Macaca mulatta: one gene and its partners. Each later gene encodes a partner of the first gene's protein in a complex. Links are inferred from orthologs where the notes say so. Each region holds a gene or a part of one and is shown on either strand. Other genes may lie near its edges.

What was found. Proteins that work in one complex are often made in the same cells at the same time.
Region 2: ACAD9 (region 1) and TMEM186 share a complex: the UniProt entries of both Homo sapiens proteins name them as parts of the mitochondrial complex. The link is inferred for Macaca mulatta from reciprocal best matches to the Homo sapiens genes ACAD9 and TMEM186.
Region 3: ACAD9 (region 1) and TMEM126B share a complex: the UniProt entries of both Homo sapiens proteins name them as parts of the mitochondrial complex. The link is inferred for Macaca mulatta from reciprocal best matches to the Homo sapiens genes ACAD9 and TMEM126B.

What each region holds. Positions count from the first base shown.
Region 1 is NC_133407.1:155,072,313-155,082,444, forward strand, and holds part of ACAD9 (complex I assembly factor ACAD9, mitochondrial), read right to left. Parts: intron 5,807-10,132; coding exon 5,669-5,806; intron 3,759-5,668; coding exon 3,652-3,758; intron 2,627-3,651; coding exon 2,526-2,626; intron 1,025-2,525; coding exon 946-1,024; intron 1-945. UniProt on the Homo sapiens protein: As part of the MCIA complex, primarily participates in the assembly of the mitochondrial complex I and therefore plays a role in oxidative phosphorylation.
Region 2 is NC_133425.1:10,018,254-10,028,976, forward strand, and holds TMEM186 (transmembrane protein 186), read right to left. Parts: upstream 6,008-10,723; 5' UTR 5,983-6,007; coding exon 5,980-5,982; intron 4,954-5,979; coding exon 4,315-4,953; 3' UTR 3,548-4,314; downstream 1-3,547. Other genes in the region: PMM2 (phosphomannomutase 2), read left to right, coding at 6,251-6,316, 10,439-10,550. UniProt on the Homo sapiens protein: As part of the MCIA complex, required for efficient assembly of the mitochondrial complex I.
Region 3 is NC_133419.1:86,217,242-86,227,892, reverse strand, and holds the start of TMEM126B (complex I assembly factor TMEM126B, mitochondrial), read right to left. Parts: upstream 6,008-10,651; 5' UTR 6,002-6,007; coding exon 5,921-6,001; intron 2,948-5,920; coding exon 2,826-2,947; intron 1,646-2,825; coding exon 1,452-1,645; intron 67-1,451; coding exon 1-66. Other genes in the region: DLG2 (disks large homolog 2), read left to right, coding at 7,983-8,001. UniProt on the Homo sapiens protein: As part of the MCIA complex, involved in the assembly of the mitochondrial complex I. Participates in constructing the membrane arm of complex I.

The sequences.
Region 1 (10,132 bases):
CTGTAATCCCAGCACTTTGGGAGGTCGAGGTGGGCAGATAGCTGGAGCCCCAGAGTTTGAGACCAACCTGGGCAACATGGTGAAAATCCATCTCTACCAAAAAAAATACAAAAAAAATTAGCTGCATGCCTGTACTCCCAGCTGCTTGGGAGGCTGAGGTAGGAGAATCACCTTAGCCCAGGAAGTTGAGGCTGCAGTAAGCCAAGATTGTGCCACTGCACTCCAGCCTGGGTGACAGAGCAGGACCCCATCTCAAAAGAAAAGAGAAATTATCAATTTTTAAAATGTGATAAGGATATTACAGCTTTGTTTTTATTTAAAAAAACAAACAAAACTCCTGTCTTTTAGAGAGGCATGCTGTGATTGTTACCATGCGATCTGGAGGTAGCAATGCTGCTGGAAGAGGCACAGTGGCCATGAGCAGGTGACTGCCGGAGTTGGGGCCAGCCAGGCACACAGAACATGTCTGAAATTTTGTGTAACAAAAAATTTAAAGATTTTTCGGGTTTACAGGCCGGGCACGGTGGCTCATGCCTGTAAACCCAGCACTTTGGGAGGCCGAGGTGGGCGGATCACTTGAAGTCAGGAGTTCAAGATCTGCCTGGACAACATGGTGAAACTCCATCTCTACTAAAAATACAAAAATTAGCCAAGAATGGGTAAGCCCAGCTACCAAGGAGGCTGAGGCAGGAGAATCACTTGAACCTGGGAGGCAGAGATTTCAGTGAGCTGAGATCACACCACTGCACTCCAGCCTAGGTGACAGAGACTCCGTCTCAAATTTAAAAAACTAAAAAAAATCAAAAACAAACACATAAAAGCAGCTCAAGAAGGCAGTCAGTGCTACAGCAGCAGGTACAATCCCTGGTGTGTGGAGAGTGCTCACTCAGTGGCAGTGAAGGTCGTGACTGAGATCCTGACGTGGCCATGGGGAAGGAGCCCTACCTTGGAGCCATTGAGGATGTAGTGCTTCTTGTCTTCACTTAGCGTGGCTCTGCTCTGGACTGAGGCTGCATCGCTCCCACTGCAGATGCAGAAAGATGTGGTCAAGGGAGAATACTGGGAATATGAATGCTTTTGAGAGCCTGAAAATGGAGGTTCTAGTACTTTTAAGAGGTCAGCGAACTTTTAAAATGAAGGGTCAGATAACATATTCAGCTTTACAAGCTACAGGATGTCTGTCTCACCTCCTCAACTCTGCTGCTATTAATAGAACATGAGGCCGGGCATGGTGGTTCACGCCTGTAATCCCAGCACTTTGGGAGGCTGAGGCAGGTGGTTCACGAAGTCAAGAGATTGAGACCATCCTGGCCAACATGGTAAAACCCCATCTCAACTAAAAATACGAAAATTAGCTGGGTGTGGTGGTGCATGCCTGTAGTCCCAGCTACTCAGGAGGCTGAGGCAGGAGAATCGCTTGAAGCCAGGAGGCGGAGGCTGCAGTGAGCCGAGATCATATCACTGCACTCCAGCCTGGCAACAGAGCGAGACTACATCTCAAAAAAAAAAAAAAAAAAAAAACATGAACACAGCTGAAGACAATTTATAAAACAATGGGCATGTTCCAATAAAACTGGGCTGGGCATGGCGGTTCATGCCTGTAATCCCAGCACTTTGGGAGGCTTAGGTGGGTAGATCACTTGAAGTCAGGAGTTCGAGGCCAACCTGGCCAACATGGTGAAACCTCATCTCTACTAAAAATACAAAAATTAGCTGGGCATGGTGGCACATGCCTGTAATCCCAGCTACTCGGGAGGCTGAGGGAAGAGAATCACTTGAAGGCGGAGGTTGCAGTGAGATGAGATCGTGCCACTGCACTCCAGCCTGGGTGACACAGCAAGACCCTGTCTCAAAAACAAACAAACAAACAAAACTTATTTATAAAAAACAGGCAGGAGGCTGGATTTAGCCGACCTTTGCTTCAATACATCACGTAAAAAAGCGGCAGTGAAAACAACTTGGGCTTAGGTTTAAACATGGAAATGGGTGCTTGCAATGGGCTCATCTGAGGTCCTGTGAGGATGAGTTGTGGGCACCCCAGGAAGGATGGTTGTTCCCAGGTTCCCACGCACAGTGAAGCAGGATGGAGGATGGTCCAGGTGATGGACTTATCATTGGAGTCCCGAGTCCTGCTGCAGCCCTGCTCCATCCAGCAGATCACACAGCCTCAATGAACCTCAGCTCCTAATGTGTAAGCAGGAACAGTACCACCCATGCTACATATTCTGAAAGGTGCTTTGAAGCCTGAACGTTATTACTGTATTGTACGTCAAGGTGTGTTATAAACCACAAAAATTTATTTAGTAAGTGCTGTCAAGCATGGTATCTCACTTGCAAGTCTCACTGGGACAGAGAAATAAGGTCAAGGTAAGAGGAATGGCAAGAACCGTTGCTGAGTTGATTCTCTGCAAGATTTTGGAAAGAAGGAAAAGTCAGCTACTCAACAAAACCAACACCCCCTTGCCCCAGTGAGTCTTGGGCAATGTCACAGCTGCTGAGGGATAACATTTTGTGCAGGGACAGACCTGGCTGGCTCCGTGAGGCAGAAGGCTGCAATGTGCTCCCCGGACGCCAGTTTAGGCAAGTATTTGGCCTTCTGCTCCTCAGTGCCGGCCAAGATGATCCCCTAAACAGAACAGACACAGACTAATGTCAGCTGTGGGGAGAAAGGAGAGCATGAGGTGTGTTTGTGAAACATTTCCTTTCTGAGGCAAATATTTACTTCAGGCAAGAGAAGACAGCAAAAACTCAGAGCAAGCGGCCACAGGCAGAGCCCAGGGAGCCAGGCTGCTGAGGAGACTGTCAGGGGCCCATGTGCCAGTGCCGTGAGCCTCGGAGACCCACAGTGCTTTGCAGTCTGTGTCCAAAACTTTCATATCAGTTCCTTCATTTCCCAGACTGGTGGTCTTGGGCAAAGGATATCCCTTTCCAAAGAAACCCTCCTCCATCTTATCATCCACAAACTGGGCCACTCCCACCCACTGGCAGGGTGGTCTGGATGATGAAATGTGAAGACACAGGAGCACTGGAACCAAGCCTATCTTAAAGAAGGTGCTCAATGTCAGGGCTGTCCCACCTGCTGCCCTCCCAGTGCCACATAGACAGGCCCCCTCTTCATCAAACATCTGCATGAATGCATGTGCTCTCTGGGGTGGGGGAGCCGAGCATGGTGTGCATTCAGCTCTCTTTGATGTCAACATTAAGCAGAAATAATCTGAGTAATGAGATTGCCAGTAAGGGCAGTTAGCCCTGGGCCTGCCCTAAGGTGCTCAAGACCAGTGGGGGGAAGGCGGCTTGCATAAAGAGTGGGGGCACGCTTAGGCTGAGGGACGAGGGCTCAGGAGGGGAGACCACTTCCAGCCCAAGGCGAAGACAGCAGCACCCCACCTGGGCCTTGAAGGGTGGATCAAAGGCAATGGGGACAGGAGGCAGATTCAAAAGGAAGGGACATGCAACCCAAGGGCCACTACGCATGTGGGCAGTGTGTGGGGACTGAGCACCACGAGGTGTGGCCAGAGTGAGGGAACTGAAGGGCAGGACTGCACGTCAGATATCAGGCCCGATTCAGAGGGAGCAAGCCTCTGGCCTCTATGCCACCATGTGACTCCAGAAGACCTACAGAGAGCACCACAGAATCCCTAAACACCTGACCTTGAGGCCGATAGCCTGGTGCGCTGCCAGGGTCACAGTAATAGACCCATCCATGCTGATGATCTCCCCTAGTCGTGAGTACATGGTGTTGGAGAGGCCCAGGCCACCTAGGAGACATGGACCAGCGTCAATCACAGCCCAGCCCCAGATTCCTCCCATTAAGCCTTCATTGTTTTTTTTTTTTTTCTTCTGATTATAAAGTAATGCCAGATCACCATTTTTTTTAAAAAAAATCACAATACAGGCCGGGCATGGTGGTTCACACCTGTAATCCCAGTACTTTGGGAGGCTGAGGTGGGCAGATCACCTGAGGTCAAGAGTTTGAGACCAGCCTGGCCAACATGGAGAAACCCCGTCTCTACTAAAAATATAAAAATTAGCTGAGTGTGGTGGCGCGTGCCTGTGGTCCCAGCTACTCGGGAGGCTGAGGCATGAGAATCACTTGAAGTTGGGAGGCAGAGGTTGCAGTGAGCCAAGATCACACCACTGCACTCTAGCCTGGGCAACAGAGACTCCGTCTCAAAAAAAAAAAAATCACAATACAGAAAGGTACAAAGTAAACAAAAATCGAGGGCTGGGCACACTGGCTCATGCCTATAATCCCAGCACTTTGGGAGGCTGAGGTGGGAGAATTGCTTGGCTCCAAGAATTCAAAACTAGCCTGGGCAATGTAGCAGGACCCCAACTCAACAAAATTAAAAAAAGTCCCAGCTACTTGGGAGGCTTAGGTGGGAGGACTGTTTGAGCCCGAGGAGTTCAAGGCTACAGTGAGCTATGATCGTGCCACTGCACTACAGCCTGGATGACACAGTGAGACCCTGTCTCAAAAGACAAAAAAGAAAAAAAATGCGGCCGGGCACAGTGGCTCAGCCTGTAATCCCAGCACTTTGGGAGGCCGAGAAGGGCGGATCACGAGGTCAGGAGATCGAGACCAGCCTGGCTAACACGGTGAAATACTAAAAATACAAAAAACTAGCCGGGCGAGGTGGCGGGCGCCTGTAGTCCCAGCTATTTGGGAGGCTGAGGCAGGAGAATGGCGTAAACCTGGGAGGCAGAGCTTGTAGTGAGCTGAGATCCGGCCACTGCACTCCAGCCTGGGTGACAGAGCGAGACTGTGTCTCAAAAAAAAAAAAAAGAAAAAAAATGCTCACAATCGTGTGCCTCAGAAAGTGCATTTCTGTGTATATCCTTCTATCCACACTTTTCCTAGGCATACAAGCATATATAGATACATACTTTAAATATGAAGATATCTACACACACATCAAATCAATTAACACATAGCGAGGATCTTCCATCACAGCTGTAGGTCTTTATAAATGCAACAACTATAGTGTGTCCCACTGCCCAGTATCCAGAGGACTCCAGGACAAGGCTTCTCCACTGTGGCACTGTAACATTTTGGAATGTATTGTTTTCTGTTGTGGGGGTCTGTCCTGCGGATTGTCAGATGCTTAGCAGCATCCTTGGCCTTTATAACTTTATATCCAAAAGGCCTGAGGGTAAACACAAATGGCACATGTGTGTGGTCTATCCCTTTGAACCATTTTCTACCTCGCCTTCCACACACTGCTTGCCTGTCCCTTTAACCTCTGCAGAATTCAGGTGACCAACTCGAGAAAAAGCATAAGGGAGGCAAGTTGTAGTGACTGGCTAACTCTAATAAGGTAGAACCGTCACTTGGGAGCTAAAAACATCACTAGGATGCTCAAAGAATTACAGGGACAGTCCATAGCACAAAGGACGCTGCTCAAAGGTTCCCACTGGTCCAATCTCCCACCTTGATGTGCTTTGCACTCTACAGCCAGCCAGACCACATGCCTCATTCCTCTGTGCTAGGATGAAAAGCACAGGACCCGAGAGCACTTCCTCCCTACAGGTCCTTCAGTCAGTCCACCCCTACTATGTAGCCCATGACAGAAGGTGTCATCTATTCCAGCAACTAGACCTTTTATGGACAAATTCAGAGTGCTTTCTTAAGAGCTAAACTGGTTGGGTGCTTGTTTGCTTGACTTACCATATTCTTCGGGGACTTGCAGCCCAAAAAGGCCCAGGCTCTTCAATTTCTCCAAAGTTTCATCTGGGATTTTCCCTTCCTGGTCAATTTTTCGGGAGTCCACTGCCAAGAGGAAAATCTTGATTAAACAAATATAAGCTATGTTTCTACAAATATAAGTAAACAGGACAGTGGTTTATATATTGATAATATATAATCCCAGAATAAAAATTTTTTCAAAACTAGAAATTCTGTAGTCATGGTCATTTGGCCTGTGTTCAATTTTATGTAATTAGCCCAGGAAAAATTTTATTTTTATATATTTATTTAGAAACAGGGTCTCACTCTGATACCCAGGCTGAAGTGCTGTGGCACAATCATAGCTTATATAACCTCAATCTCCCAGGCTCAAGTGAGCCTCCTGCCTCAGCCTCATAAGAAGCTGGGACTACAGGTACATACCACCACACCCAGCTAATTATTTTTTTTTTTTAGTAGAAACAAGGTCTTGCTATGTTACCCAGGCTCGTCTTGAACTCCTGAACTCAAGCAATCTTCCTACCACAGCTTCACAAAGTGCTGGGATCATAGGTGTGAGCCACCACGCCTGGCCAGAATTAAACTGTTAAAAGCTGTCAGAGCTAGGTGGTGTTCTATTTGTTGATCTGGGTGCTAGTCACAGGAGTGCTTTTGCTGTGTAAAACAGCAGCAAATTATACATTCATGGCATGTAAATTTTTCTATAGGCATGTTAAACTTCATTTTTTCCCTCCTCCTTCTAGACCTCATACTTTTTTTGGCTAGTATATTCTAGGAAATGAGAGAATAAATATGCAACTCTCAGAATTATACTAAAATGTTCAGCTAGATAGCCACCTCATGGCAGTATCTGGGCCAAGATTTACCTCACTGTCAGAGGCCATACTGCTTTCAGCACAATCCACCAGTTCTGAGACAGTTTAGCCTGTTTAACACCAATTCATTTATTCATTCAACATTCACATTCAGCCTGCACTCTCAGCTACTTGGGAGGCTCAGGTGGAAGGATCACTCGACCTGGGAGGTTGAGTAAGCTATGATGGCACCACTGCACTCCAGCCTGAGCGACAGAGTGAGATCTCGTCTCTAAAATAAAAATTCACATTCACTGCAGCAAAACTGAACAATCAATAGCATTAGGCCTATAATTGCACACTTTTGTATGCATCAAGCCAATTAAAGTGTACTTCTGAATTGCTAATTAAACTTCATCAGTATTGAAAACAGTATGGTGAAAAACACCATAACCTACACTTAAGAATTTTTGCATACATGGGTCACTAAGACAACTACAGATTCCCAAAAGTGCAGGCCAAACCCTTCATTTTTTTATCCTTTAACAACTTTATTGACATATATAATTGGCGAAGAATAACCTGCACATATTTACAATATATAATTTGTTGAGTTCTGGCATATTTGTCAGTGAAAACATCACAATTGAGAAGAAAACATTTCCTTTTCCACCAAAAGTCTCTATGCCCCTTTGAGAACGATCCATCTGTCCACCATCCCCAGGCAACCACAAATCTTTTGTCTATAGATCAGCTTGCATCTTCAAGTTTTATATAAATGAATCCATATGGTACCTATCTGTTTACCCCGGCTTCTTTAACTCAGGTCATGATTTAGAGATTCATCCATGTTTTTTCATGTATAAATACTTCATTACTTTTTGTTGCTCAGTATTCACTGTATGGGTGTACAACTGTTTATCTAAATTCAGTAAGCAGTATAAACACACAGAGCCAGAAGTTCAAAGAACTCCAAGCAAAATAAGTGTGCAAAAAACTACATAAATAAATGTGATAATCAATTTTCCTAAAACCACTGAAAAGCAGCCAGAGATGAAAGAAACACTATGTACAAAGGAACAAAGATAAGAATGGAAGCAGACATCTCTTCTGAAGCAATATGAAGTCAGGAAGAAAGCAGAGCAACACCATTAATTGCCTGAAAGGTAAATCCTGTCAACACAGAAACCTGTTCTGATGAAACAGACTTTTATTTTACTTTTTCTTTCCTTTTTTTTTTTTTGAGATGGAGTCTCGCTCTGTCACTCAGGCTGGAGTACAGTGGTGCGATCTCAGCTCACTGCAACCTCTGCCCGCCAGGTTCAAGTGATTCTCCTGCCTCAGCCTCCAGAGTAGCTGGGATTACAGGTGCATGCCACCACATCTGGCTAATTTTTGTATTTTTGGTAGAGACGGGATTTTCCCTGTTGGCCAGACTGGTCTCAAACTCCTGACCTCAGGCGATCCGCCCACCTCGGCTTCCCTAAGTGCTGGCATTACGGGCATGAGCCACTATGCCCAGCTGAAACAGACTTTTCTAGACATACAAAAGGTGAGAATATGCATCCCCTGCAGAGCTACACATCACGAAAAGTGAAAGGAAGTCTTTCCCACAGAAGAGCAACGGTAGCAAAAGTTCAAAGAACTCCAAGCAAAATAAATGTGCAAAAAACTACATAAATAAATGTGATAATCAGTTTTCCTAACACCACTGAAACGCAGCCAGAGATGAAAGAAACACCACGTACAGAGGAACGAAGATAAGAATGGAAGCAGAAATCTCTTCTGAAGCAATATGAAGCCAGGAAGAGACTCCACAAGAGACATGAAGAGCCCTGGAATCAGCAACTACATGGGTAACAAGATCCTTTTTTCCTAGTTTTAAAAACTGCTGGCTGGGCACAGTGGCTCAAGTCTATAATCCCAGCACTTTAGGAGGCCGAGGCAGGTGGATCACTAGATCAGGAGTTCAAGACCAGCCTGGCCAATATAGTGAAATCCTGTCTCTACTAAAAAAATATAAAAATTAGCCGGGCATGGTGGTGCGCACCTATAGTCCCAGCTACTCGGGAGGCTGAGGCAGGAGAATCACTTGAACCCAGGAGGCAAGGGTTGTGGTGAGCCAAGATCACGCCACTGCACTCCAGCCTGGGTGACAGAGTGAGACTTCGTCTCAAAAAAAAAAAAAAAAATTGCTCTAAAAGATAAACCAACCATTTAAAAACTTATAGGCCTTTTTGTAGACTTGAAAAGCTGATTATTAAATTGATGCAAAAGAAATGCAAAGGACCTGCAAGAGTCAAACCAACTTTAGACAAGAATAAAGTTGGAGAACTAACATTACTTGGTTCCAAGCCTTAACAGAAAGCTCAGTAAACAAGACAATGTAATACCTGAATAAAGATGGACAAATAGATCAGTGGAAGAGAACAGAAAATTCAGAGATAAACTCATACATAAATGGTCAACTGATTTTTGATAAAGGTGCCAAGTAGATCCAATAGGGAAAAGATAATCTTTCCAACAAATGTTGATGGAACTGGATAGCCATAAGCAAAACAATCCTCCTCAAACTTCACCTCACAACAAACCCCAAATTAACTTTGAATGAATCATAGTTCTAAACCTGAATTAAAACTATAAACTTTTTTTTTTTGAGATGGAGTCTTGCTCTGTCGCCCAGGCTGGGATGCAGTAGTGTGATCTCAGCTCACTGCAAGCTCCGCCTCCCGGGTTCACACCATTCTCCTACCTCAGCCTCCAGAGTAGCTGGGACTACAGGTGCCCGCCACCACGCCTGGCTAATTTTTTGTATTTTCAGTAGAGACAGGGTTTCATCATGTTAGCCAGGATGGTCTCGATCTCCTGACCTCATGATCCGCTCGCCTTGGCCTCCCAACGAGCTGGGATTACAGGCGTAAGCCACCATGTCCAGTCATAGTTTAGAAACTGTGAAGTTTCTAAAAGAAAATACAGGCCAGGCTGGGCGAGGTGGCTCTCACCTGTAATCCAAGCACTTTGGGAGGCCGAGGCAGGCAGATCACCCGAGGTCAGGAGTTTGAGATCAGTCTGGCCAACATGGTGAAGCCCCTTCTTTACTTAAAAATACCAAAAATTAGCCAGGCGTGGTGGCACACACCTGTAATCCCAGCTACTCGGGAGGCTGAGGCAGAAGAATTGCTTGAAGCCGGGAGGTGGCGGTTGCAGTGATTCGAGATGGCATCTCAAAAAAAAAGAAAATACAGGCCAGGCATGGTGGTTCATACCTGTAATCCTAACACTTTAAGAGGCTGAGGTAGGAAGATCACCTGAGCCCAGGAGTCTGAGACCAGCCTGAATAACATAGTGAGACCCCATCTCTACAAAAAACTTTAAGAATTATTAGCTGGGCATGGTAGTGTGTACCTGTAGTCTCAGCTATGCGGGAGGCTGAGGCAGAGGATGGCTTTGAGCCCAGAAGTTGGAGGGTTGCAGTGAGCTATGATCACACTACTGCACTCCAGCCCAGGCGACAAAGAAAGACCCTGTCTCTTAAAAAAAGAAAAAGAGGAAAAAAGGTATGTTTATGGCAACTTTTTTGGTGATAGCTAAAATCTGGATACATACCCCATGTCAATGAATACTTAAATGGATAAACAAATCTTGGTATATC
Region 2 (10,723 bases), on another chromosome or scaffold:
CCACTGTGCCTGGCCTTTTATTGCTTTTGTTGTTGACTTTGGTTTTTTGGGGGCAGCTCTCAGGTACTACCCTACTGGTGCATGACGGAAGCCGTAACACATTTCCTGCTGTCTGGTGGAGATCTGTGATTTCAGCTTAGGGATAAAGGGTTAGAATAATGCATTTGCTCTGTGTGCCCTCTGCTGGTACTGCGTGAGCAGACCACACATTGAATGCCTGCATGGGTGAGAATCTGTGGTCTCACCTCCCAGGACAAGCCCCTTGCAGACTTAACAGAGTGGTGATACTTCAAGGGCAGCGATGGTCAATCACGTTAGAATCACCCAGGGAACCGTGAAAATAAAAATGCCTGGTCATGGGCTTTGACAATGGGGTTTTAAAAACACTCTCCAGGAGATTCTACACATAAAGCCAGTGTTAAGAACCTATTCTTTGGGCAGAAAATTGGCCCAGGAACACAAAGTCCACAGAACCATGTGTCACTCTGGTGTCTTCTGTTCTAGTAGTCTATTTCAGAAATTCCCAGCCTGCCTGAAGCTCAGAATTGGCTTCAAGCCGGTCAAAAAGACAGATCCTGGGGACCCACCCCAGACATAATCAGAATATCCCGGGGTGAAGTTCACTCAGGTCATTACTTACAACCCAACAAAGAGAGAATTTTTGGTTTTAATGAGGTTAAGGTCAAATCATTATGACTTCTTAAGACATTTTTTAGCCACAGGCTTTATGTCTTCATGGGGAAGGGAGTCACAATCACTGAAGAACTGATAGGCAGGTGAAGGCAAGGTACAGAAGGAATGAATAGCCACGTGTAACTGCTATGCACATTTCTCTTCTATATAATTGAATATTCACTACACTTCTTGAGCATAAATAGTGAAACTCCGTTATACAGAGAGGACACTGAAGGGGAGGCGGTTAGTTCTCTTTGCAGGTATCTAGGGAGAAAGCCTTCCAGGCAGAGGAAACTGTCAATGCAAAGGCCTTAAGGCTGGAATATTCTTGATGACTGGAGAAGAGCAAGGCCATCGTGACCTGGGGGAATGATCTCCACAGAGTTGCGGATGAGGGAGGAAAGGGGAGGGTGGATTAGGCCATCAGCCTTCACAGCAGAGTGATGTGATTCTGTTTTTAAGCATCACTTTGACAGCTGCGAAAATGGACTCCAGTAAAGCAAGGATGGAAGCACAGGATAGAAGCATCGAAGTGAAGGGCCGGGCACGGTGGCTCATACCTGTAATCCCAGCACTTTAGGAGGCCGAGGTAGGTGGATCCCTTGAGTTCAGGAGTTCGGGACCAGACTGGCCAACATGGCAAAACCAAGTCTCTACTAAAAAGAGAAAAATTAGCTGGGTGTGGTGGTGGGTGTCTGTAATCCCAGCTACTCGGGAGGCTGACGCAGGAGAATCGCTTGAACCTGAGAGGCGGAGTCTGCAGTAAGCCAAGATCGCACCACTGCAACCCAGCCTAGGTGACAGAGCGAGACTCCATCTCAAATTAAAAAAAAAAAAGGAAAAATAACCACTGTTGACAAGAATGTTGAGAAACAGGAACCCTTGTCCATTGCTGGTGAGCGTATAAAATGGTACAGCCGCTGTGGAAAAGTGGCAGGTCCTCAAAAATAAACAGAATTACCACAGGATCCAGTAAATCCACTTCTCAGTACGTACCCAAAACAACTGAAAGCAGGGACTCGAACAGATACTTGTATACCAGTGTTCATAGCAATAGCCAAATGTTCATTCATTAACAGTCAAAAGGTGACGACAACTCAAACGTCCAACAGATGAATGGACAAACAAAATGTGGTATATACAGACAATATACACTGCACCCATAAATGTATTTAACCATAAAAAAGAAATAGCACTGACACGTGCTACAACATGGATGCACCTTGAAAACACTACACCAAGTCAAAGAAGCCAGATACAGGCCAGCTGTGCTGGCTCACGCCTATAATCCCAGCACTGTGGGAGGCCGAGGTGGGTGGGATCACTTGAGGTCAGGAATTTGAGACCAGCCTGGCCAACATGGTGAAACCCCCATCTCTACTAAAAATACAAAAATTAGCCAGGCGTGGTGTCAGGCACTTATAATCCCAGCTACTTGGGAGGCTGAGGCAGGAGAATCATTTGAACCGGGGAGGCGGAGGTTGCAGTGAGCAGAGATTGCGCCACCGCTCTCGAGTCTGGGAAACATAGGGAGATTCCATCTCCAAAAAAAGGCCAGATACAAAAGGTCACATATTATATGATTCCATTTATATGAAATATCCAGAATAGGCGGATCCAGAGGGACAGAAAGCAGATTAGTGGTGGCCAAGGGCTGGAAAAAGAAGGAAATTATTGTTCAATAGGTATCTTAGTTCTATTTGGGTTAATGACAACATTCTGGAAATGGATGGTGGTGACGGTTGTACAACATGTTCTGTTCTGTTTGTTTTTGAGATAGTCTTGCTCTGTCGCCCAGGCTGGAATGCAGTGGCGTGATCTCAGCTCACTGCAACCTCTGCCTCCCGGGTTCAAGCTTCTCTAGTCGCTGGGAATACAAGTGCCCACCACCATGCCCAGGTAATTTTTGTACTTTTAGTAGAGACAGGGTTTCGCCATGTTGGCCAGACTGGTCTTGAACTCTTGACTTCAAGTGATCCACACGCCTCAGCCTCCCAAAGTGCTGGCATTACAGGCGTGAGGCACTGCGCCCAGCCTGTACGACACTGTTAATATACTTAATGTCCCTGAATTACACTCTTAAATATGAGTAAAAGGATAAATTTTAGGTGTATCTTGGTACGGTTAAGAAAAATGGAAGGCGTGGCTCCAAGAAAAAGAGGAAATTCTCCAAAGAGGAGCCAGTCAGCAGTGGGCCTGAAGAGGCAGCTGGCAAGAGCAGCTCCAAGAAGAAGAAAAAGTTCCATAAAGCATCCCAGGAAGATTAGAATGCAAATGGACATTCTCTGGGAGGTGGGACACACCATAGCCCAAGGTGACATCTTCCACCCTGTGCCCTGTTCCCCAATAAAAACAAATTCACAAAAAAAAAAAAAGAAAGAAAAATGGAAGGCTACACAATAAAACATTATTATTTTTTGTTTTGTTTTGTTTTGAGAGGGAGTCTCGCTCTGTCGCCCAGGATGGAGTGCAGTGGCGCGATCTCGGCTCATTGCAAGCTCCGCCTCCCAGGTTCATGCCATTCTCCGGCCTCAGCCTCCCGAGTAGCTGGGACTACAGGTGCCTGCCACTACACTCGGCTAATTTTTTTTTGTATTTTTTAGTGGAGACGGGGTTTCACCATTAGCCAGGATGGTCTCGATCTCCTGACCTCGTGATCCACCCGCCTCAGCCTCCCAAAGTGCTGGGATTACAGGTGTGAGCCACCGCGCCCGGCAATAAAACATTCTTATTGACTTTCGAGTGGCAAAATAATAAAGATCATGCCTTCCTTCCTCTTTACTGTGTTACAAATTGCATAATGAACATGTATTATTAATTATGCAGGGCAATGCATATAACTGGCTTTAGTTTATAAAAGAACGTACCAGCATACGGTCCATTAGGCTTTATTACACTGCAGGGCCATCCAAAGCAAGAGCCTCTAGATCTCAGCGTGGTGAACAAATCTCAAATGGGGTTTCGTGCTCACTTGGACGACATCGCTGCTCATCGATGTGTAGTTAACATCCTGGCAGACCTTTCTGCTGCTGGATGTGTGAGGGGCACAGCACAGGGCTCTGGAAGTCCCTGCTGACTGCTCGAAGCCTTTCTCCATGCCAAAACCTCTGACCAAATGCTTAATGCTATCTGCTCTAGGCTGCTGAGTCTGCCACACGTTTGACATTTATTCCCACATCCATCCCACGAAACAAGCAGGGCTTTCCATTTTACAGATGTGAAAACCAAGGTTCAAAGAGACTCAATAACCCACCCCAGGACAAGTGACAGAACTGAGACTTCTGACTCCAAATCCTATGCTCCCCCACCACACCTCTTTGCCTTTCAATTTCACACCAATGGACTGTCTGGGTGACCCTGGCATAGGTTCTTCTAAGAACTGGCTCTTAACAAAAACTTCTGGCCGTTATCTGACTGAATGTCACACACGAGTGCTGTAAGAACTTGCTTAGAGCCTTTTTCCTAAACCTGGACACCAGCTCTTGCCTTGTGAATTTCTTCATCACAAAACACATGTTCCCAGGGGCCCAGGCAAAGTCTCCAAGTACCCAATCCCCTTTCTTCAGCTGTGCCCACACCCTCAGCCTTCCTGTCAATCCAGGTGACCCAGGGTTACCCAGAGGTCCAGGCCCCAGTTGTTTACTTGAACATCTGATGTCTCCCAAACACCTGCGTGAAACGCTCTCTGTCCAGGATGTGTCCATAGCGCAGGGTGACGTAGAAGGTCTGTTTCCCGCTGTACCGCTGGATACGCATGAACATCTCCTGAGGCTGGTCCTTGGTTTCTGTCAGGGGAATCACATCTGCCAGGGGACAGTATGTGTCCTGCCGCCAGCCCCAGAAGCTCAGATGGGCCACCCGCAGCATGGTGCCAGACTCATTCAGATACAGGATACCAACCAGTCTCCGAAAGAAATAGCTCATCCAGCACAGCATGGTCAGGGCAAAGCCCGATATCCCACTCATCAGGCACACGGTGTTGAGAGTCAGGAGGCCCTGGGAATACCAGTAACAGGCTGGTGGCAAAACTACCACTGTCAGGGCAGTCTGTGCCAACTTCAGTCGAGACAGGAACCCAAAGATTCTGATGGCATCAAAACGGTAAAACATCCAGAATTTCTCAGTCTCTTGGTTTGGTGGTTTCTCCTTCGAGGTGGGTGACCTGCTCCCCACCCACCTCTTAGGATCCTCCTGCCCACTGCAGCACCACAACCCATGGAGAGGCCTTTCCCACGCAGCTTTTCCCCGAAATCTAGGCACAACTCGGAGAAGGGCAGCCTGAAAGGGAGACAGTAGACGATTTCTCTCATGGAATTCAACCACATTAATCACACGGTGAACATCTGCAAAGCACCATACTCCAAGGCTTCTGCCAATCCTGCAAGGTCACCATTATTGCCAGAGGAGGGAAGGGTAAAGCCAGATGTTATCTCATGTGGGCATCACAACAGCTATCTAAGATAGTTATCACTATTTCCACTTTACCACTAGGGAAACTAAGCCCAGAGAGGGTAAGATATTTACCAAAGAACACACAGTCAGTGAGTGCAGCAGAGTCCTCCTTCCATCAGGCAATTCCAAAGAAATACAAGAAAGGAGGTGCGGCCATCAATAATTCAAAACATATCTAGGGAGTCCCAACTCTGGGCTGGACAATGGATCCACAAGGGGGTGTGAACATTTCCCCAAGCAGGAAACTGAATAATCAATGTCTTAGTGGGGAACTCAAGCAACAAATCTGTGAGATAGTTATCCCAACAAACTTTCTAATTCTGTTTACGTTATCTTGGGTGCTGGAGGGAACTGCTGCTTTCCCTTAACCTAGTCAGGGGAAGGGGAAACAACGAGGAGGAGGAGGAGCGAGGCAGGGAGGCCCCTACACGTAGCACAAACATATTATTAGGTGGGTAGTGAAGCAGTAAAAGCTCTGGTTCCAATTCTGGCTCCATCAGTCACTACCTGTGGATTCTTGAGCAAATCACTCCACACCCCTGAGCTTCGGTTTCTTCGGCTTTCAAAATGGGGACTCAGAACACAGTGAACGAGAAGATGGTTTCAAAGCCCTCAACTTAGTACCTGATGCGCTGTGAGAGCTCGGCGAGTTTTAGCTATTACTACTGTGAGCACGTGACGCAAGGAGGGCAGAGAAAGCCCGGGAATGGCGAATGGTAACCCACGCCAGAGCTTCCTCCCACGGATTCTTCAGGTCCGAAACTCAGGCGTCGTGCCTGCCTGCCCCAGCTCTGACCCCGACCGACCCCCAAAGAGCATCACCCCCTCAAGGATCGCCACCAGCCTCCTTACCATGGCTCCACAGCCTGCTGCCGGAAGTAAGTCCCACCGGCCCCCGGAACCTCTAAGAGCGCATGCTCGAATGTACAAGGCGGGCGTGATCCGCGTTGCACCCTGGGATTTGCGGTCCAGGAATCGTGGCTGGCGCTAGTCCCAGGCGTTGTGGGAACGGAGTCTCCTCCTCTTCCCGACGTGCCCTGCGGCTCGGGGGCCGAACTCGGAAGTTCCGGGCCGAGTTCCTGATGCCAATGAGTCTTGCGAGGTGCGGTTAGACGCTGGGGACATGGCAGCTCCTGGCCCAGCGCTCTGCCTCTTCGACGTGGATGGGACCCTCACCGCCCCGCGGCAGGTAAGTGGCGCCCGGCGGGCTGGTGGCAGCCGACTCAGAGTCCGTGCTGTTCCCAGTTGGAGCTATCGACTACCCAGGGTCGGCGCCAAGGGCTGGCTAAGGACCGCCTGCGTCCTCACGGGGGCTGGACCCTATTCTAGGTGCCCTGGAGGGATGAGAGGGAGGCCCTAACCAGCTCTTCAAGAGCTCTGATGCTTGGAAAGATGAGACGGGGCTGAAGAACTCTTAAGAGAAGGAAACTTATGCTTGGTTGGAAAATGCAATCTGGACTCACCGCTAGTCCTCGGGACCGATGGACCAGGATTTGAACCCGACATCAGCTGTGTGCCCCTTATCAGCTGTTTGCCGGCCTCAATCCTGTAACCAATGGGCTGTGCCGTGAGTCATTATATTAAAAACAGGTTTCCAGGTGAAATCGACCTAGTGGAGTCTCATCTTCACCTCTTCACAGCTGTGTGACCTTGAGCAAGTCATTAACCTTTCTGAGCCTCAGCATCTACAGCTTTAAATGGGGATATTACGTGTTCCATATGGTGACTGTGAGGATCAAATGAGATTGTGTAAGTTCTTGAAAGTATGTTGCACACAGCACACTAGGCCTCAGTAAATAGTAACCACCTCCACCACACCCATCTCCAGCCCCTGCAGTGGACTAGGAAGATGGAGGAGCCCTAGGTTATTACAGGCTGCCCGCTGAGAGCCTCTTTGGGCCTTTCGAAACTTGCTTTCCACTTCCAGATTTTGCTGCTACAGGCACAGATAAGTTTCAGTCACTATCAGCCTTGAGATGAGGCTTTCCTGTCCCCTTTTCAGAAATTGGCCACTGACAACCGGCCATTTCAACTTGAGAGTGGACCCCAATGGTCTCACTATCCTCAACTAATATCCTCACCCCTCGTAGTCTTCGCTTGGTGGTAACAATGGTGTGCTCCAGAAAGCCACGTGAAATGCGTGTGACCTTAGACGTATCATTTTGCCCTTGTCAGCCACAGGTTTGATCTACCTAGTGATGACACTCAACTCCCAAGTTCTTCAAAGGCTTTTTCTGATTCTGAAATTCAGCTATCACACACTTGGGGTTGTTAAAAGCCCATAGTGGTCTAATACTCCGGTCCCCAATTCATTTTTTGTAAAGGGCCATATAGCATATACTTTTGTCTTTGCAGACCATATGGTCTATAGTAGCCACTGAACTTTAGTACAAAACCAGCCATAAACCCTATGTAAACACAGAGTGGCTGTGTACCGGTAAAACTGTATTTATTTGTTACAGAAACAAACAGCTGCCCAGTGTGGTCTGTGGGCCATAGCGGTCTAGGGTTTACATTGCCAACCCTTTTTCATGATTTCGCTGGACCCTCTCAACCTTCCTTCATCTTTCTTTCCAGGTAGGATAGTTGTTATTACCTTTTTAAACATAAGGAAACACACTCAGTGAAGAACTAACCTCCTCAGTTTCACACAGCCGACCTGGTACAAGCCCCTGAGCCTCAGGACATTGGTTCCTGTCAAGTTTGCCATTTCCTATCTGTGCTAAGGTGGAAGCTGTCCTAGTTACTAGGTATGCCATTCAGGAAAGTGCTTCTGATCTGATTTTCACAGTTCTGACTCTTCTTTTTTTTTTTTTTTTTTTTGAGACAGAGTCTCACTCTGTCGCCAGGCTAGAGTGTAGTGGTGCAATCTCAGTTCACTGCAACCTCCGCCTCCCAGGTTCAAGCGATTCTCCTGCCTCAGGCACCTGAGTAGCTGGGACTTAAGGCGCCCGCCACCACGCCTGGCTAATTTTTGTATTTTCAGTAGAGACAGGGTTTCACCATGTTGGCCAGGATGGTCTCCATCTCCGGACTTTGTGATCCACCTGCCTCAGCCTCCCAAAGTTCCGGGATTACAGGCATGAGCCACTGCGTTCTGACTCTTAAGGGCCACTCCTGCAGTTCTAGATTTTGTCTAATAGGTTCAAATTCCACTGTGAGAGTAGAAAAGATTGCACTCTATTACAAGCCCTTCTATGCAGTTTTATTTTAATCAGATTCATGTGTTACTCTAAAAAAATTTTTTAAAGAAAAATCATTGAACTCCAAGTGTTTATATACTGACGGTGAATTAAATGGTTTTTTGTATTTTCTAAATTTCTAGTAACTTTTTAAAAAAGATATTCAGGGCCAGGCGCGGTGGCTCACGCCTGTAATCCCAGCACTTTGGAAGGCCGCGGGCGGATCACGAGGTCAGGAGATCGAGACCATCCTGGCTCATGCTGTGAAACCCCGTCTCTACTAAAAATACAAAAAATTAGCCTGTAGTCCCAGCTACACGGGATGCTGAGGCAGGAGAATGACGTGAAACCGGGGGGCGGAGCTTGCAGTGAGTGGAGATGGCGACACTGCACTCCAGCCTGGGAGACACAGCGAGACTCTGTCTCAAAAAAAAGACATTCAGCCGGGCGCGGTAGCTAACGCCTATAATCCCAGCACTTTGGGAGGCTGAGGCGGGCGGATCACTTGAGGTCAGGAGTTCGAGACCAGCCTGGCCAACATGGTGAAACCCTGTCTCTAATAAAAATACAAAAAATTAGCTGAGCGTGATGGCGGGCGCCTGTAGTCCTGGTTACCTGGGAGACTGAGACAGGAGAATCGCTTGAACCCAGGAAATGGAGGTTGCAGTGAGCCAAGACCACACCACTGCACTCCAGCCTGGGCGACAGAGCGCAACTTCGTGTCACAAAAAAAAAATAGACATTCAGTGTAAATGTTCAACTAAGATTGCTCAAAGTACTGAGTTATAAGACTTGTAAAAATACATTGTGATGTGTCTTGATGTAGGGCTGTTTTTCATCTTAGTTTATAACTTTTTAAAAATTATCACACAGTTTGGAATTTACCATAAAGTCATACCACTAAGACCACTCTTTCTAGATAGGAGCTTTGCTTTTAGAAGAGACTAAAAAATCTAGTCATCTTACTCTTTTCCAATTTTTTTTGTTTTGAGTAATTGCAATAAATCAGTTCTAAGCTTCTCCTATTTATTTATTTATTTATTTATTTATTTATCAAGACGAAGTCTCGCTCTATCACCCAGGCTGGAGTGCAGGGGCACGATCTCGGCTCACTGCAGCCTGCGCCTGCCAGGTTCAAGTGATTCTCCTGCATCAACCTCCCGAGTACCTGGGACTACAGGCGCGTGCCACCACACCCGGCTAATTTTTGTATTTTTAGTAGAGATGGGGTTTCGCCATGTGGGCCAGGCTGGTCTCGAACTCTGACCTCAGGTGATCCACCGGCCTCGGTCTCCCAAAGTGCTGGGATTACAGGCGTGAGCCGCCATGCCTGGCCCTGAGCTTCCTCTTTAATTTCATTATGTTATTTTGTTTTAAAATCAACAACTTAAATCCATAGATGGAGTATAGTGTAGCATTTAAAAGGAATACATCATGCTGAAAAAGCGAAGTTGCTGAGAAAGCGAAGTTGCTGCAAAGGACATAGAATGATTCCATTTATGTTTCAAAAATAAGACCTATTTGTATATGTGCCCATAGATGGGTATATAAATGCGTAAAAAATTAGCTAGCACAGTGCACAACAGCTACTAACATATTACCTGTGTTTAAAATGTGGTAAAAATAACACTTAAGTTTATTCTGGTAAAGATGCCTCCCTCCCAATTACAACTAAAATATTTGAACTGTGTAGAGAGCTGGTAACTTAATTGGCATGTATGAAAATAAGGCTTATAGGCCTGGCTTATGCCTGTAATGTCAGCACTTTAGGAGACCAAGGCTGGTGGATCTCCTGAACCCAGGAGTTCCAGACTGGCCTCAAAACTTCGTCTCTACAGAATATAAAAAAATTAGCCAGGTGTGCTGGCGCATAACTGTGGTTCCATCTACTCAGGAGGCTGAGGTAGGAGGATAACCAGAGCCCTGGTCGAGGTCGAGGCTGCGGTGAGCTATGACCATGCCACTGCACTCCAGCTTGGGTGACAAGTGAGACCCTATGTCAAAAACAATTTTTTTCTTTAATTTTTAAACAAGAAAATAAGATTTGTGTACTTGTGTTACCCTTAGAGTTTTAGTCTCCTGATTATTTTTTGGCTTATGAGTGTTGTATTTTCCTTCTTGAAATTTAGAAAATTACCAAAGAAATGGATGACTTCCTGCAAAAATTGAGGCAGAAGATCAAAATCGGAGTGGTAGGCGGTTCGGACTTTGAGAAAGTGCAGGAGCAACTGGGAAATGATGGTAAATGAGAGGTTGCTAATTACATCTAGTAAAAGATTAACTTCTTATGAGGATATTATTGCCAAGTATCATAGGCTGCCCTAAAACCTTATCCCCATATGGCAGACTTTCTGCTTCCTTGTTTGGGAAACATTTTCTTGGCCCTTATTTTTCCTCTGCTTTTAATCCAGTAA
Region 3 (10,651 bases), on another chromosome or scaffold:
AGAAAACACCACAAACTATGCCGATCAGTGAACTTCTGAAAACACAGTTTTCCTTGCTTATATTTTCTGGAAAACAAAAGTAAATTTGGTTTTCCTTTAAAACTCAAGAACTATTAAGACAGTGTTGTACCTCAGAGTAGTTATCTGCACTATCCTCAACCACAACTAAACCATAGAAAGAATATCAGAAATTCAAACTCTGTGGCATATAACAGGCTAAATGCAGCACATTTAAAAAAGTTTTTATTGTACTTTATCACATAGAGAATTACCTCTAACATATGTGGTTGTTGTAGAAGCTATTTTATTTTTTAGAGACAGAGTCTCACTGTGTTGCCCAGGCTAGAGTACACTGGCATGATCTCGGCTCACTGCAACCTCTGCCTCCAGGGTTCAAGCAATTCTCATGCCTCAGTCTCCCAAGTAGCTGGGATTATAGGCGTGCACCACCACACCCAACTGGTTTTCTATTTTTAGTAGAGACTGTGTTGGCCAAACTGGTCTCGAATTCCTGACCTCAAGTGATCTGCCCGCCTTGGCCTCCCAAAGTGTTGGGATTACAGGCATGAGCCACCATGCCCAGCCAGAAGCAATTTTATAATGACAGAATACTAAACTAGCAGACCAGACCTGGATTCTAGGTTAATACATTTTTATTATCTACTATGTATCAGGAATGTGCTAGGTGCTAGGAATACAGTGGTATATAAAAGACACCTGATCTCTGATGTTCTGGCCAGTTTACAGTAATGAAAGACATGAGATAAATATTTAAATAATTATAAGTGTACACAATACTTTGAAGATAAACTATATAGAGAATGTATCTAGACACCTAATGTACAATGAGGGAATCAGAGGTCTCCCTGGGGAAAAGATACTTAAGCAGGGACCTGAAGAATGAATGATGGATAGAGGCTCTATCAATTACTAGTTGTGAAACTCAAGGTAAGGTGAAGGGCAGGAAATAACATTAAAAGCCCATAATATGACAGATATTGTGGTAGTCATTTAACCTACAGTATCTTTTAATTCTCACAAAATCCTGTGAGGTGAGTACTATTAGTCCTAATTCATAGATAAGACAAGGGAGGCTCAGAGATGAAATTACTTGCTGAATGTCACAAAACTTAAGTGGCAGGAGGTAGGATACTGAAATGATGTTTGTTATATGCCACAGTCAATTCTTTTCCCAGTATGTTGTTTATTAGTGTACTTGAACATGCCTCAGTTTGGGTTGCTTGCTTATCTACAAAAAGAAAAAAATACGATTTACCTCATTAGGAGGACTGTTGCAGGGATTAAATACGACAAGGTATATGAAGGGACTTTGTAAACTGTATAGCACTATATAAATGTAAAGAATTATTATTAGCAGTAGCAACAGCATCTGTTAATCAGTAACTTTACTTAGACAAAACTACATTATACATTAGTGAATTTAAATTCACCTGAATACAAAGGATCAATTACAAGAAGCTTGTAAGTAACTACAGTAGACAAAAATGGAAGTGTAGCCAATGATGCATATGTTTTCAAAGCATCGTGTTTAACCTTGAAGCAGCGTCTGAACAGAAAGTTTGAGAATATTCCAGAGAAACCAGCTGTTGTTCCAAATGACGTCGTTTGATATATATTTGGTGTCCTAATAGAAAAAAAGAAAAATTCAGTTCACTGTAACATTGAACTTAATGGATACAGCCTTTCCTAAAAAGTTGTTATTGCATATTTACTCAATATGAAATACTTCTTGAGCACTTACTATGTGAAAAGTATTTTCTAAGTGCTTAAGATAGGGCAGTAAACAAGGCAAAAGAAAAAAAGAAAAGGAAAGAAATTTCCCACCCCTCATAGAACTTGTATTCCAATGAGAGGACATGATTCTCTTTCTGAGAATATTTACAGTAGTTCTAAAATAGAGCTCTTTTAAATAATTTTGGTCACAAATAAATATAAATATGCTCCAATGTAGCCAAATTTTATGAGTTACCCAAATCGAAGAATACCTTTCCTGCAACTAAAAGATTTACTTTGCTTAAGTTCATCTAAAAAAAAGCTATTTACATTTGGTTAGGCCTTCTATTTCTGCATTAGTCCCAGATACATTTAAAATAATTTGTCCAAGATTTAGAAAATTTCATCCAAAAAAATCTGATCTAGTTTTCTTATTCTTGAACTCCATTCATTTAAACGTCAAAATGGCCAGTCTGGCCAACATGGTGAAACCATCTCTACTAAAAATACAAAAATTAGCTGGGTGTGGTGGTACACGCCTGTAATCTCAGCTACTTGGGAGGCTGAGGCAGGAGAATCACTTGAATCTGGGAGATGGAGATTACAGTGAGCCGAGATTGTGCCACTGCACTCCAGCCTGGGTGACAGAGTGAGACTCTTATCTCAAAAAAAAAAAAGTCAATATGTTAATGTGAGACTGTATTTATACTATGAAATCTGTATTCCCTTTTGCTGTACTAAGTACTGTGGCTGAGATAATCAATCCTTAACTGATTATAATTACTCACCAATTAAATATAAGTACCCCCCCAATGATTTTCTCTTACTTTTAATTAAAATATATTTACTGCACAAATGTTTTAGCAATACTTTTGGATACTTTTTAAGAAACAAAAGAAATTATCCACAATCCCAAATATTCCAACAAACCACTATTTTCATCTGTTCTTGTTTCCCTCATTCTTTTTTTTAAGGATGTGTTCTTCATAACCAACTCAAAGAATAGGATAACAAAGAATAGGATCTCAGAAACAATGGCAATACAAAAGACTTGCAAATAAAATGATTTTCAGCCTGGGTATTTCTCTTACATTTCTTTTCTAAGATAGTCAAAATTTTTTTCTATGATTTCTATGATCATTGGTCTTCTGAGTTTTGCATCTTCTAGAGAAGGACTGGGTTGACCATGCATAGATGCTGTCATCTTGACATCCTGGAAAAAAAAATTCCAGAGCCATAATAGCTAATGATATTCATATTACATAAAACCTTACAGAATTCTACAGATTCAGATTTGAAAACATTTACAGTTTAGTAGTGTGCCAGGTACTGTGTTGTCTGCTTTCACATATTTTGTTAATAATTCAATCAACATTTACTGAGCTCTTATTATCTGTTAGACATTGGCTTTTTGTTATTATTTTTTATTTTCTTGCTAAACATCCTACAACACACAGACATTGGCTTTCTGATTCACACACTAACTTGAGAAATTGGTAGTATAATGATTATCTCTATACAGATGAGAAACTGAGGGTCTGAAAGGTTGGCTTGCTTAAGATTTAGTTTAGAGGGATAACATACTGATACTGTTTCTGTTTTCCTCTCTCCTCATTCTGAGAAGGCAGTCAGGCCCTTTGTAGTTGTCCTCCTAGCTCTTCAGGTGGGGAGGTGGAAACAATGGCTGCTTATTGACATCTCTATCCTCAGTTTCTCATGAAAGACTGAGTTCATTTTGGAAATCGTGTTTCATTTCCTAGAGAGGTAGGAGAGAGCAGGGATTGCCTTGGAGAACAGTGAGAGAGAAAAATCAGAAAGAGGGACACTGCTTCAGGAAGGGAACAGGCAGTAGATTGTGGCTACTACTTTGAAGTACATAAATTACATAACCAGTTCCCTATTACCACCTGTGGTGGAAGCAGAGCCTTTGCTAGAAATGATTATGTAGTATAGCAGAGACCCACACCTGCCACCACACCTGGCTAATTTTTGTATTTTTACTAGAGACGGGGTTTCACTATGTTAGCCAGGCTGGTCTCGAACTCCTGACTTCAAGTGATCTGCCTGCCTCGGCCTCCCAAAGTGCTGGGATTAAAGGCGTGAGCCACCGCGCCGGGCCCCAGAGACCCACAGCACTGGGCTCCTTGGTTGGAAGGTTCTTGTGTCCCAAGTGTGATGAACAGACAGCTGCCAATGTCAAGGGACCATGAAGACTTGGCCAGTAGCATCTTAACAGAAACTAGAGAGATTAAAAAACAAAACAAATCAACAACAACAAGAAAACAAACCCTGCACTCTCAGACAGGATCCTTTCTGAATGTTTTGCTCTGGGCAAGACTCTAGAGTTTCTGTGAAAAGTCTTAATAACATTTGTTAAATCCAAACATGTAGTTGCAAATGTTTACCTACTACAGCAGCCAAGTGGAAAGTCTATTGCCGCTAAATTCACTGCTTTTTACTTTTTTTCCTCCAGATTAGCCAAATAGCCTCTTTACAAATGTACACTAATCTCAATTTTAACGTTTATATTGAAGGCAAATACTAAATCTCAAGGTTAAGGAGTCCTAGACAAGAGGATTAGAGGGGATAAAGCATAATGAATACACAAAATACTTCATAAATCAGTGGTTCTCAACCTTCAGCATGCACAAGAATCACATGGGGTATTTATTTGAAATGCAGTCTCATGAACTCCCTCCTGAGATATCTGGATTCAGCAGGAGTAGGATGAGGCCTAGAATCTGCATTTTAATAGCACCGAGTGCTTTTGATGCTGTAGTCAATGGACACATATTGAATATTACCGTAATACTCATTTGCTGAATGAGCGGTATGTACCAATCCTAACTATAGAAGGGCCAGTTGATTATACACGGCTCCTGGCATCAACATACGTAAGTTATGAGCTTCTTTGAACCTTCTTATGGCATTACACAATGAGTAATAATGGACCAATTTCTTTCTCTGCATCATCGCAGAATTGTACTCAATCTTTTTCTGTAACATTTCTGGAGAGGGCAGGGGGAAAAAAAAGTAAAATATTTTACAAATTACAATTTTTCAGTGACTAGACTTACATCTTTTTCCTCTCCTGGACACCCAAATGGAAAGTATAAGGGATAGTAACATCTAAGGGAGATTCTATACCTAACCCATCTATTGTACTAAGATGGCAGATGTCAATAACATGAGTAACCATAAACCTTACATAAATTTTTGTTTTGCTCTCATCCAATTCACTGAAGTCCTCCACCTTCCACCAAAAACAAAAAACAAAATAAACTTCCAGGCAATATCTTCTACTAATCTCCTACCTAGTCTACACCCTAAACTCTCTATAGGGAAAGCAGACACCCAGGATTATGATTACAGGATAGCAAATACTGAAAAGAACACAGGAAATATTATTGAGTGCTTAAGCTTTGCAAGGCACTGTCAAAGAATCGACTGCTTTCATTACACCCCTCCCCTCTTAAGGCCACTCAACTAGTCACCACGCTTATACCAGTAAGAGTGGATTATAGTTTGCAAATCATTTAACGGTTTTGTAGTGCTTTCATGTGTATTATTTCACCTAATAATACATTTTTCACCTAATAATAAATTTCAACTTTAGAATTTTATTCAGTATTCTCTCATAATTTAGGGAGCACCTGGTATATGCCAGGCCTCCGAGTAATCAAGATACAGTCATCCCATCCTCAGGAATCCACAATGTAGTGGGAGTTCAGAACAAAAATGCTGGCAATTTAAACACAGAATGAGAGAGTGACATAAACGAAAAACCCAACAACCTAAGAAAAGGCAAACTTAATCTAGCCAGAGGAGGCGTGGGAAGGCTTCCCGGAGGAAGTGACATTTAAACCAATATCCTAAAGAGAACAATTTGGCAGGGGAGTTGGGACGGATAGAAGCAGGGAAATATTCCAAGTTGAAGAAAAAGCCTGTGCAAAGGCCTGGAGACAAGAGAAAACAAACCGCAGATAATGAGTACTAGAACTTAGGTAATCTACGTTCTCTCCGCCTCTTTCCACAACAGCTGGAGACTTAATCGACTGCTCCTTGCATGGACTTGGGGGCTGTTTTAACTTTTCAAATCTCCTTTAAGTGTATCATCTTGGAAGACTCTGCCAACACTCTGAAGCTGCAGAAATCACCCCCCATACCACTTCGGATTTCCGCCTACCTTGGGCGCTTCCTCAGTTACCACCGGCACCACACCTGAATCCCTCAGCTTGGCCCCAGCCTCATACCCGAACACCGCCATTTTGATGGCTCACGTGATTTGCTGGTGGGCGGGAAGTGGGGCGGGTTTACGGCTCATGCCTCTCGCTTGCAGCCCGGGCCCGCCCCCCTCAGTCAAAAGCCGCGCCCTCCATCCTGTCTGTGATTGGGCGCGGTGTCTAGAAATTAGGGCCACTTATTCGCTTAGAGGAGGTCCAGGTGCCTGTGGGTCCGCCCCCATCGCCAGCAGAGTATTTCCTTCCCTTGCTATTTGTCAGTTTAGCTCCCTGTTTTCCTCGCGTCTTGCGGAGAGGATGGGGCGGCCCAAATGCTGGAATGTTACTGCGCTCCTGCCTCTCCTCAGGGCACCTCTGGTAGCTGGGAACTAGCTGCCTGCCCCTTTCAGTCCTTGAGGGAACTCGCCCCTTTGCCCTGGCCCGTGTGGTGTTAAAGCTCTGTTTCTCGGGCACCTCCTCCTCCAAACCCCCAACCAGCCGCCCAGCGCCGTCAGAGCAGCCCCGACTAGCCTCCTCCCCTCTCAGCCGTCTGACTCCTCTCCCCAGTCTGTAGTCCCCTCAATTTCCATCCTTTAGCCCCGCTTGGAAGGAGACAGGAGAGAAATTTGCCCACTACCCCCCGAGAAGACCCACTTGTCAGTCGTGTCTCAGGGTGGGGGGCACTGCAAGGCCTGGCGCTGTTTTGTGCACGTTAAATGCCCAGCAGTATCTCCCAGACCGGCAACCCCCGACCCTCCAGTCTCCATGTCTTAGAGAAGCCAAATTCGAGAGTTATATAATTTCTAGTGCTGCTGTTGCTCCTGCCTGAAGAAACACTTCATCGCGTGGAGGGTGCAGGACATTTCAGTGCTCTTCCCTAAAAGAACGGGGCTTGGGCAGGGGTGGCCAGCGGTGGCAGAGAAATGTCTTGTCTTTTCTGCAAAAGGAAGGTGGGTAGTTTGAAGAGAGATTGAGAGAAAAGGATGTGGATGTGAAAGCCAAGCAGCTGCACTTTTTCATTTTGAGGAAATCGCGGACCGTTTGCATAGCTTATGCTTACATGTCTAATACTACTACGGCGTCTCTGAAAACACCTTTGGGGGAAGGTTTGGCTTCTCTCGAAGTCTCAGTGTTTTTCCTCGCCGGATAGGGAGCTGCTTGGATGCGAAGAGATGGCATGATGTGAATGACTCCAGTGTGAAGAAATCTGCTTCGCCAACTCATCCTGCATCAAGTGCCCATTGAGTAGCACTGTCACTTTAATGTCTCCATGCCAAGGGATTGCTTTCCTTTTTTTTCAATCCTCTCTGTTAATACATGGGAGGATCAGAATCAGAGGTGCATTAAGGATCAAGCCTGGGGGCTTGGAGAGCACAGAAGAAAAAAATGAAAGTGACAGCAAGCTGGATTCTGAGTTACTGAGGGGGTGAGATCCGGAACTTCTGATCAGTAAATAGAAGGGGGCCTTTCGGTGTGTGTTCTGCCACAGAAAACTGTTCAAACTCACCTATCTTTTTAGAGACTGGAGTCAAAGAGGTTTTTAAAAGTATTTTTTGGGAGGTGGGGTTAAATTTTTCTCTACATATTTGAGGATCTTTTTCATCATGTTTCAGTTTGACCATGTATAAAGTAATGAGACAGCTGTCTAAATTTGGTTTGTGCCTTAAATGAGTTAGTCATTGAACTTCCAAAAATGTTGCTGCCTGAAGAGGAATTTCAGTAACGTTCTTCATGTTTACAATAATTTTCCCAGTTTGTAAAAACAGTCTAAATATTTTCTGAACATTGAAAAACTTGAAAAACTAAAAAATTACGTTTCTGTAAACTCTGTGGGCGGTGTAAAAAGTTTAGTTGTGGAAAAAGTACATCATTACTTTCTTTATCTGACATAGAAGACTCAGCCTGGATTTCAAAACTGAGCAGTGAAGTGGTTTGCAACAGTTACCTGGCTCTTGGCCTCAAACCAGCTGGATCAAACTGAGACCTGAAAAGAGATCTTGAATTCTGTGGCAGTGGAAAGACCTAAGAATGCCAGTCAAGAAGAAAGGTGGGCTATGAGGTTGCTATATAATATTTCTGCCTTTTGTTGGTTCTGGTACTTGTAATTTAAACTATATTCCATTTGAGAGTAAAATTTTGCTTCAGTTTGGGGGAAATTTTTATTGTAATATAGTTTCAGTGGTACATAATTCAGTAATATCTTGCTAAAGTAAAAGGAAGTAAGACTATAGTATTTATTGATAGATATTTACGATTTCATACATCAGGTTGTTTATATCACCATTGGTAATAAGAATAGATTCAGTACCGCAGATTTGGAATCTTCTCTAGCTTGTTTTCTTAGCTTGTTAAAGGTTGCTTTTAAGCGGTCTTTAAAAAAACTTGTACAGTGGAGCTCTTCCTCATGGGTTTAATATTTATCAAGCTAATTACAGAGTTGTGAAAGGTAGCAAAGTAATTTCATTTGCACTGAACAAAATTATAGCTTTATAATTTATCTTTTGGTTAAAAATAATTTCTTATTTGGATTTATTCTAGTGTAAATCTTCACTTTTGTGATAAAGCACAACTTTCATGACTATTGTGCTTTTCCAGATATATGCATTATCCAATAACATGATTGTCAAGTTCCCCATATGGGGCAAACTCCTGTTTTTTTCTCCCTCCTCAACAACTTTTATTATTGGAATTGATCAAGATCTAGTGAATTACTGAAGCATAGTTGATTATAATCCGAACTTGGGGATTCAGTTTAGCTTAGATGCAGCCCAGGTTAACATTGTTCCAAAGGATCTTAGTTTGGGATTGTTTTTGTTTTGTTTTGTTTTGTTTTGACATGATATGGCAGGTGAGATCAGCTGTAAAGAGTTTCTCAAGAGTTTTGAATCAAAATTTATATGACATCCTTGAACTCTGCTATACTGGACTAAGGTAGATCCAAATGTTGTCCAGTTACGTGAGTTGCTACAGTCTGAAACTAAAGCTCTGGGTGAATTGCAGGTTAAAGTGGAACTTATCTCTGCATGGTGTTTAATTCTTCTACCTGTGGATTTGTTAGGGATGTTGAGGAAAATTATAATCACTGAGATGCCTCAGTGATTATAATTTTTATCCAAGCTGATATTTACCTAGAACTGTGATTTCTGCACACTGGGATTTAAGATTGAGATTGTTTCCTCCCCCTGCTGTTTCTAATAATTACCACTGACAGAAGTAAACTCTCTATGAGATTTTGGAGCCACACCTGTCCAGACCAGACACAATTGGTTTATCGAGAACAAGAATGGTTTTGGGAGTGTAGCCAATAAACGATATGGCTCTTTGACATATTTAAGTTGATGTGTGTTTTTATTCTTTCTACCATTTCTCTAGACAGTTTCTTTTGGATTACCTTATTTTGAACTAATAATGGAATTAAACACATATGTGTGTGTGTGTGTGTGTGAGAGAGAGAGGAAAAGAGTGAGAGGGAGACAGAATGGGAAGAGGGAGAGAGAGAGAAAGAGATAAACGGTATATAGGAAGGAGGAGGAGGAAGCTCAGTTGATATTCTAGATATAACTTAACTAAGCAGGTTTAGTTAGAAAGTTTAGGACTTAATGTTTCTAAACCCCATAAACTGAGTTTCTTAAAAGTTCTTCCTTTTAAAAAACTGTTACAGAAATTGCTGATACATTGCTGAAATTATAATACTTTAGAAGTATTCCTCTCCTCCTTTGCCTACTTCTTTCTCTCTTCCTTTGCCTCCCTTCCCTTTCTTCTTTCTATCTTCGATAAATTGACTGACAGATTGAATTTTTAAAGGAATCAACAAGTTCTAATTAGAAAAACAAATGTATATTTCTATGATACCAAAGTATATGTTATATAGTTTTCCTTATAAACTGATCTAGAGAAACAATGTATCTTGCTTTTAATCTCTTAAAACTGTTAGTATTATGATACATATTCTTGAATATTGTAGACAACTAGCCAAACAAGTTATAATGTGTGTGTTATATTTTTCATTGGCTATGCTTACTATCTCTACTGTTTACCTAATATAAGAACAGTATTTTTAAGTTTAACCTAGATTTATTCTGCAGGGATCACTGTCCTCTGTCACCTTGAGTCTTTTTCTCTCTTCATTGTTTCATGTGGTAGACATGATGAAAGAGCTAGACTTAATGTGATTCTAAATAATAACTATCCCCACTGAGCTAAGTGTTTATTCATTGTTGAACATATTCTCATTAAAGTGTGAAATTTTCATAAGATGGATTTTCATTTGGTATTTATTTAGTATATTGTTGTCAAAGAGAGAGGAGATTCTTTTATTGATACCATGCAACCATGGTGGGAATTGGGAATGGGTGTGACATCTCACTAAGCCCATTTCTAGGTGCCATTCTGGACTGCTCTTGGATAAACTGAAACTACTGTTCCTCAAACCCCATGTTAACTGCTCGTTTGCTTTATGACATTACTTTCTACTTCTCTCACTCTAGTCTCTTCGCATTTTTACAGATCTCAGTTTTATCAACAGAAGGCTCTTCTGTTTCCCTGTTGGATATTTTTTTTTTCCTCAACAGTTGCTTTTCATTCAAGATTCTCTTATCTATAGTAGTAACTGGATTTGCTCCCAGGTGAGCCCTTGGGACAATCTTGAACATATTTTAATTTGTGAAAATTTAGGACCAATTCAGGATAAGTTGTAT